2 linked regions of the Canis lupus familiaris genome follow. The main gene of each other region encodes a partner of the protein of the gene in region 2 in a complex. Links are inferred from orthologs where the notes say so. Each region holds a gene or a part of one and is shown on either strand. Other genes may lie near its edges. The genes, in order: DBN1 and ZMYND8.

Region 1 (4,477 bases), on a different chromosome or scaffold from region 2:
TCAACCCTGAGCTCTGCCCCCACCTGCCCTTCCAGCCAGACCTCCGTTTCCATACCAAACACTTGGGATGCGCTGGATGGCCTCTGGATCCCAAACTCAATTCTAGATATTTCCCACCCGGGAGCCTCTGCACATTAATTTCCCTCCACAGGAGGGCTAGACCTATTTATCCATCCCATGGGCCAGCCCTGACTGAAATCCTTCAGGGACCCAATGCCAGCTTCCCAGGAAGCCCTGTCCTAAGTTGCACCTCCTTAGAGCACTTACCATACCCCATAAGGGATGGCAAGAAGCCTCTAAGCCTATCCTAGATCTCATTAGACCTGTACTTCTCAAACACATCAGAGACAGCCAGGCCTGAAAGGGTGGAAGCTGTTGAAACCACAGGTATCAGGATGGGGTCCCAGGGATCTACATGTCTCTTCAGCTTCAACCCCTGGAAACAGACAACGCCTCTAACTGTAAGCTGTGTGAAACGGAGACATCCAATTCAATCAACATGCATCACTCACTGGGTCCCGGGTCCAGCACAGGGCAGAACCAGTAGGTATCTGTGATATTGACACAAACTCTGAGAAGCCACCGAGGCCAGAGACACTGGACTAGGGTGAGGTGGGCCTGGGATGTGCCACTCCAGGGAGATCCCATGTTCGGTTGAGGTGGGGACCAAAGGCAGATGGAGGAGCCCTCAGTCCAATTCCACTCTCAGGATGCTGGAGCTGGAAGGTGCCTTGGGGGTCCCAGATATGGTGGAGTCCCATCCCCTCCTTCTCTTTTCAAGAGGACCAGAGAGGAGCAGACACTTGTGTGTAGTTAACACAGTGAGTAGTGTCCTATCCAGGGCAACAGTCCGTTTCAAAGGCTCTGCCACATAGGAGCAATATCCCCCTCAGAGGTAAGTGAAGGCAGTACCATGCCTCTTGACCAAGACAGCAATTGTACCCAAGATCCACTCCTCTGGCCTCTGAGTACAGGGTCTGCCCCCAAGTCCTGAGACTCCACTATACTCCTGGTTCTGTACTGGGACTGGGGGCACTCATGCCCTACTCTGCAGGATGTGTTCTTCACATCCTCTTTACAAAACGCTATCTAGGCCCTTGGGAGTTAGCAAATGTCTGTATGTACGAGGGTGCATGTGTACATGTGTGTCCCACACACAACCCAGATGGGGGTGACGCATGCCAATGATGAATAACTTGCTTTGGCCACATGGATGCTGCTGAGTGGTGGGAGCCCAGGCCTCTGCTAAACAGAATGTGGTCCAGCAGCGGTTGTGTACCCCTGTGCTGGACTGCCAGAACCTTGCTTTTGGGAGGTTAGAGGGAAACGGGGTGGTGGTATATAATAACCAGCAGACCAGAGGACGAGTAGGGTGTTCTAAGGCAGGGCTGTGCCTCTGCAGGCAAGGCCCATATCCTAAGCCTAGTTCCTCCACCAGGCCAAGCGGGCCACTTGCCCTGAACTCCTCCCATGATCTCAGCCCCCATGGGGCAGGGCTGGGACAATGGGTGGGCCTCCTGCCGGCTCAGCCTGTGCTGGCCTCTCCTGTGACTGACCTGCAGGACTTGAGGGCTTTCTCCCTCATCCATCCCTCCAGGCCTGGCTGCCCGCCAGTGCTGCAGTACCATGGCATGGACGCCTGGCCATCTTGCCCCTCCTCCAGCCCCCGGGTCAGTGTCCCTACCTAACTGCCCTCCTAGGATGAGGGTGAGGCCAGCCCACGTGAGGGCCCTCAGACCTAGCCTCACTCTGTGCCTCAGTTTCCTTCCTGCTAGGAAAAGACCAGGCCTAGAGAACAGAATGGGCACCTGTCCCAGGAGAGAGTATTTTGGAGGAAGGGGATTCCTGAATGGGGCAGTGTGGGACCCCTTTGCTTTCCTGCCACCCAGGGGTCTCCAGCCAGAGAGAGCAGGTGGTCCATCCCGTCTCAAGCTCAGGGCAAGACAACAGCCAGGAAAGGGAGAGAAGGTAGCTCAGCTTATCTGCCACGAGGAAGCTGACCACTGAGCCTGAGGCTTCGGGGCTCAATGGATGTACTCACTCTCTCCTTCCTGTTTGGGCGCTCCCTCCACACTTGTGTGCCTGGGAGCCTCCTCTCAGGGACCCCAGCTGGCCACCTGGCCAGGCAGCTCCCGGCCCCACTGCCTAGTCCCCGCAGTCCCCTCCGGATCGGGGAGAGGAGGTCTCAGCTCGGCCTTCTCCGCGACCCCTGAGGGGAACAGGAGTCGCTCGGCGGCGGCTAGGTGGCGAGGAACACGGCCCCCTCGCACCCCGGCTCCCAGAGGCCCCCGGTGGGCGGGGCGCCCCGGCCCCGGCCCCGGCCCCGGCCCCGGCCCGCCCCGCCCCTCCCCCGCCCTAGCTCTCCTTTGTGCTGCGGCCGGGCCGGGCCGGGCCGGGCGGGCTGCGCTGGCTCCGCTGGCTGGTTCCCCGCCTCGTCCCCGCCCGGCCCGCTCCCGCCCGAAGGTGGCGAAGGTGCCCTTGGCCGCCCCGTGCACACCTGTCCCCGGGGCCCGGGGCGGCAGGGCGAGGGCGGGGGATGGGCTCCCGCAGGGCGAGCGGCCCCGGGCCCCGCATCTGGACCCCGCGCCTCCCCGGAGCGTCCGGCCACCGCCGCGGCGCGAGGCCGGGGCCGCCTGCGGGCGCCCGGGGCCGGCAGCGCCCGCCCGGCCCGGCCCCTCCCCCGGCGCGCGCCGAGGCAGCCCCTCCCGAGCCCCCCGGGCCGCTGCACCATTGCGGGGCCCCCTCCCCTCGCGGCTGCGGGGCGGCGGAGCCGGGCGGAAACAAAGGCGGCGGCGGCGGCGGCGGGGACAAAGGGGCCGCGGGCGGGGGCGGGGCGGGGGCTCACCAGTCGGCCGCGCTCTCCTCCCGGATCACCTCCTCGTACGCCGCCAGCAGCTCCAGGCGGTGGCCGCTGAAGCTGACGCCGGCCATGCTGCTGGCCGGACTGAGGCCGAGCGGACGGACGCGCGGAGCACGGACCGACGGCCAGAGCAGGAGGCGAGGAAAGAGGGAGCCGCCGCCGCCGCCGCCGCGAAGCCTCTGCAGCGCCGCGAGCCCAGCGAGCCGCGGCCGGGGGAGGGGAGCGGCCGGCGGGGGGCGGGGGGCGCAGGCTCCGCCCGGCTCGCTCCCTCCGCGCGCCCGGTCCTAGCGCCGCCCGGCGGGCCCAGGGGGAGGCCGCCCCCCTTCCCGGCCTGCCCCGGGCGCCCCCAGCCCCGCGCCCCGCGCCCCGCGCCCCGCGCCCGCCCGCGCTCTGCGCTCCCGCACCCCGGCCGCGTCTCGCCCGCGTCCCCAGCCTCGCGCACGGTGTCCGCAGCGTGGGCGCTCACCCTTTCCCCCAGCCCCATACCCAGCAGCGGCACCACCTCGCGGGGTTCCCGTCTGCGGCCACCACCCAGGCCCGGCTTCCCCCCTCTCCTTTCCAGCTCCTAGTCCCAGGCCCAAATCCTCTTCGCTCCGGTTGGCACAGCTCTACCCCGTGCTTAATTTCTCTCCGTCCCAGCCTTAGCCCCATCCCCCTGCCATCCCAAACCAGGTTAAACCCATCTCCATTCCAACCCTCAACCCCAGCCCAACTGGACCAGCCACCTTGGCCCGTATGCAGCCCATACCCACCTCTGAAAGGTCCACTCCTAGGCCACCCCCATCACTATTCACTGCCATCTGTGTCCCTACCCCACATCCAACCCATTTCTTTCCCAGCCTACTTCCCAACCACGCCCTCAGTGCGCACCTCCACACATTCACAATAACCACCTTCGCTAGCAGCACCCTCGTCAGTCCAGCCTACCTTATTCCCGTTGGGATCCCAGTTCCCAACCACACCCCTCCATCCCTGCCTCCTTGATTGTGCTCAGCCCCAACTTAGCTCAGTACTCCAGGATTCCCAACTTCTTTCCCATCCCTGACCCACCTCTCTCCAGAGCACTCTCTCAGTTCCTGGCTGCCCCCAAGGGCTGTCTCTGATGGGTCCAGCCTCCAATTCCTTTGCCTTCTCTCCCAAGCCTCAGGCCTCACAGAGGAATCCCAAGTACAGTTCCAGAAGCAGCATCTAACCCCAGACTCCCAGGGCAGGGTTCCAAGTACAGAAGTCCCCTACAAGGGAGTGGGCACCACTGCCAGGGCCTCATGGAACATCGCCACTCCTTGCTGAGGTGGGACCCTGAAACTCTCCCCAGCTTGAAGAAGCCTTTTCCACCTCCTACACAGCCTCCCACCCCCATCTTCTTGGGGGAGGTGACAGAATCAAGCAAGCTTTACTTGGTCCAGTCTGGGAGATGGAAAAGGAGGTGGCCCCCAGTTGGGCCTCTGAGTTCTGAGATGGGTAATCAGTTACACCAAGAGGAGAAGGAGAGCAGTGTGCATTGATTAGCAGTGAGTCCCAGTGCTTTCAAGTAGGAATAACCTCTTCAAACCCCTTAAATTTCACAGACACCTCCCTCGGGTACTCTGCACCTACTATGCCATGGACCCCTGACCC
Region 2 (3,801 bases):
CATTGCAGCACTGCTTACAACAGGGGGAAAAAAAAAAACTGGGAGCAACCTAAATGCCCATCAGTAGGGGAATACTTGATTTAAATCAACTGTGGAATACTATGCAGCAGTCCAAAATAACATAGATAGAGCTATATGTGCTAACATGGATGAACTTCCAAAACATGCTGATGGGTGAAAAAAAAAAAAGAAAAAAAGAAGAAAAAAAAGTATGGTACCATTTGTATGTTTTAAAAAAAGGAAAAAGAAAAAAATACTATTTTTATGAAGAGTCATATATACATAAATATATATGCATACATGCATAAAAAAGGTTTCACGGTTAACAGTGGCCACTGAGAAAGGGTGAAGAATGGAATGGAAGTTCGGTCAAGACAACAGATTGTGGGGCAAATATTTTACCCCTCTCTAAGAAGCCTATATGCATGTATTGTTTCTAACACAGAGGGGAAAAAAAATAAAAGTGAAAAAAACAAGTCGCAAAACAACTTTTAAAAATAATGCCACATGGAATGCGCGAGGCCTTCAAGATACAAAGGCCATGAAACAAAAAAGAACTGAAAAAAAAAAAGAAAAGAAAAAAAAAGAAAAACATTTCTGTCTCTCCTGTCGATGTGGCGAGGAGGGAGTGGGCGCCACGTTGAACAGAAGGGGGCATGGTACCTTTCACAGCCTGTCTGGTCTGATATCTCGTCCCCTGGGTAGACTGAGGCTGCTGGCTCTGCTGCTGGCTCTGCTGCTGGCGCTGTATCTTCTGCATGTGCCACTTTTGGGAAGACGTTTGAAACTTACTTGACGAGTTCCACACGACCCGCTGCACGGCCGGGGCAGTCTCCTTCGGTAAAAGCGGCCTCTGCTTTTTCACCGGGCTTCCCGTGGCGGCGGCAGTGGCGGCGGCGGCGGTGGCGGCCGGGGCCGTGACCGTGGACGTGGTGCTGGTGGTGGCCGTGACACCAGCCGTGGGTGTTTGGGAGGAGGAGCGGGTGAGGAGCGGAGTTTCAGGTGGGGACTGGCTGCCCGCCGTAGTGGACGGTGGAGCTTTGCCTACAACTAAAGCTGATGCGTCGGGGGGCGGGGGGGACAGAAGAGGAGAGATTGGACTCAGGTTCACCTGCGGGGTTTCTCTTCTCCAGCATGTTCTGGGTTAAACAAAGCAAGGCCAACCAAGAATGCTGAACAAATTCAGTGTGGGAGGACCCCACCCCCGATGGAGGAGCACATCTCACCTTATCCACAGAGGCCGCTGCTGTGTATCTATCTCAGAGTGTCGGCCTCTTCTTGCCCACATCGGAGGCTCCTATAGGGGCCTCTGGGGCAAATGAGGCGAACTAGACCCAGCCCCTGCCCTCAAGCTGTCCACCAGTGAGTGGAGGAACAGAACCACCACAAGCTGTCTTGTGTTACGGTTAGAACTGGGTAAGCACTTTGTGAAACACCCAACCAAAGTCGACCCAGAGATTAAGAGAATCCTTTTGGCTAAAGAACCTATAGAGCCTGTACCCCTAAGTATCAGGTAACTTCCCAAGGGCCAAAGCACTGGAAACATGAAGTCACCCAGAAGGAGAGTCTCCCTTGACCTCTGACTCCCTCCAGGACTAAGTCCCAGTGTGCTCTTAATGGCCTTGACCCCTGGGACTAAAGGGAATTCCACTCCATAGCCAGAACCTTCCCAACACCATGGTATTTATCTCTAAGGAGACTTGCTTCTTTGTTGCTGTTGATATTGTTTTATAATGTTTTTTTTTCCACTTTAATTCCAGTCGAGTTAACATACGGTGTTCTATTTGTTGCAGGTGTACAATATCGTGATTCGACAATTCTGCATGTTACTTAGTGTTCATCATGGGAAGCATACGCCCTGCTTTTAATTCTGATATGTTTATTCCCACTGCCACCTTTTATCAGGCAATAACTGGTGCGATGGTCAAATCTACATCTAAAATGAGCTTTAAAAGCATAGTTTATTTTAGAGTAGCTTTAAATAAAAATACGAAGTCAATGATTATACAAAGCAAGACTTGGGAAGGGCAAGAATAATGAATGTAAATGACAAGTTTGGAAAAGGCTGCTTTCCGGGAGTCTGTCTTCTGGGAGGGGGGGCTGTGAGGGAGGGGCAGGATTTCAACAGGCGGAAGTGAGAATTTGGAGGGTGACTGCGACAGCCAAGACGTGTCCAGGAGCAGCCAGCATTTTGGTCAGTGAGAGCAGGCAGTGAGGAGTGGCAGGAAGGCGGGTTAGAGCCAGAAGCACTGAGCAGCACAGAAGGGGTAGCCCCCTTGTGCTCATTTGTAAAGGGGGGTCCGTTATCACCGCCGAGGTCCCAGCCACCAGTGGAGCGGGTCTGCCCCCGAGAGAGGATGCCCAGGGATCACACACAAAACACAGGTACAAGTCAGCACCCCCAACTTATCAGACAATGTACCTTGACATAAGTGCCTTTCAGATTTATGTAACCCAGAAAAGACATGACCTTGATTATTCCAGGAAGGATATTCAGTACCCTGAGTTTTAGGAAGTCAAGGAGAGTGACAGAAAAAAAAGAAAGGGGAGGGGGGCTGACTTTCCTGACTCAGGAGGCCAGGGGGTGCAGGGAGCTTCCTTGGTGGCCGTCCCATCTGTCTGGCTCTCCTCCGCCTTCCTGCTCCTCTGGAGAGGAAGGAAGAGCCCAGCCAAGTTCATAAGTGGAGCCGGAAAGGGAGGGAGCTCTTCATACAGTGAGGAACCCTGATCCTTTGCCGGGATGACTTTGCGTGCTGGATACTGGATACAGCCCCTGTACCTTCCAGGAGGAAAGGGGGCTCTGAACCCAGGTTTTCTAAGAGCCGTGCACCAGGGCAGTCCCCTGGTGGAGCTTCTAACTTGCAGAGAAGCACCTTCCATGCCTCCCTTTCCTTCCAGGTGATGAATATATATATCATTACTGTTGAGAAGCTAACCTAGCCCCTCTCTCCTCAGACAAAGGACAACCACAAATAGGTCCTTTTCTTTCTACTGATTTGCAGAAGCAAAGAGTAACTTTGTGGGTGGGCTGCTGCTCTGCAGTGGTGATGGCTGGCCCTCTGTTCCAAATAAAAACTGTGGAGTGTGCAATCCAAAAAAAGATTCTAGGCTCAAAGTACCCTTTGGGGTTACCAATTAGATACTAAAATATTTTGATTTCTAGAAGATTCTAATGGTTTACTGGGGGAAGTGGGGGGGTAGGAAATTCCATTTGTCCCAGAAATTTTGAGTGTATAATCAAACCGAGAGCCCAGAAAAGGGTGAATCTCTTCAAGGCCAACACTCCAGAAGCTGCCCCTACTTAATTAACCTACTTATTCTAGTACCTGAAGGGGGGTCTTTCTAAGAGAAAGATGGAAATTACCGGTGTTGTAAGGGAAGCACAGCGGGGTCTCTAAGGAAGCCTCCCTTTGCCTCTATTCTGAGATCACCAACTAGAAAGCTATTTTGCTACCTCAGGCTGCCTATTCTACATATAAGCAGCATTCCTGGCTAAAGGTGAGCTGAAGGTCACTGTGGCACACTGTAATATGCTCTTTACCTAATAAACTTGAAAGTGAGGGATCCCTGGGTGGCGCAGCGGTTTGGCGCCTGCCTTTGGCCCAGGGCGCGATCCTGGAGACCCGGGATCGAATCCCACATCGGGCTCCCTGCATGGAGCCTGCTTCTCCCTCTGCCTATGTCTCTGCCTCTCTCTCTCTCTCTGTGTGACTATCATGAATAAATAAATAAAATCTTTAAAAAAAAAAAAAAAAAACTTGAAAGTGAAAATACACCATTGAAAAAAATGCTCTAGGGATG

Evidence for each region.
Region 1: the proteins of ZMYND8 (region 2) and DBN1 are in contact, whole or in part, in a crystal structure (PDB 5Y1Z), measured with the Homo sapiens proteins. The link is inferred for Canis lupus familiaris from reciprocal best matches to the Homo sapiens genes ZMYND8 and DBN1. Residues at the interface, in NP_001350670.1 of Homo sapiens: Gln167, Pro168, Gly169, Thr170, Gln236, Ile237, Val240, Lys243, Ile244, His247, Trp269, Leu285, Gly287, Phe288, Phe307, Gly309, Gln310, His311, Asp312, Ala314, Thr335, Lys336, Ser337, Ile338; in NP_004386.3 of Homo sapiens: Met1, Ala2, Phe6, Ser7, Arg10, Leu11, Leu14, Tyr17, Glu18, Asp92, Ala93, Cys96, Ala97, Ala99, Ser100, Lys104, Glu107, Phe108, Gln110.

Annotation. Positions count from the first base shown.
Region 1 is NC_049225.1:36,784,432-36,788,908, reverse strand, and holds the start of DBN1 (drebrin), read right to left. Parts: upstream 3,060-4,477; 5' UTR 2,932-3,059; coding exon 2,846-2,931; intron 2,132-2,845; exon of another isoform or gene 2,042-2,131; intron 1-2,041. UniProt on the Homo sapiens protein: Actin cytoskeleton-organizing protein that plays a role in the formation of cell projections. Required for actin polymerization at immunological synapses (IS) and for the recruitment of the chemokine receptor CXCR4 to IS.
Region 2 is NC_049245.1:34,969,600-34,973,400, forward strand, and holds part of ZMYND8 (protein kinase C-binding protein 1), read right to left. Parts: intron 1,057-3,801; coding exon 664-1,056; intron 1-663. UniProt on the Homo sapiens protein: Chromatin reader that recognizes dual histone modifications such as histone H3.1 dimethylated at 'Lys-36' and histone H4 acetylated at 'Lys-16' (H3.1K36me2-H4K16ac) and histone H3 methylated at 'Lys-4' and histone H4 acetylated at 'Lys-14' (H3K4me1-H3K14ac).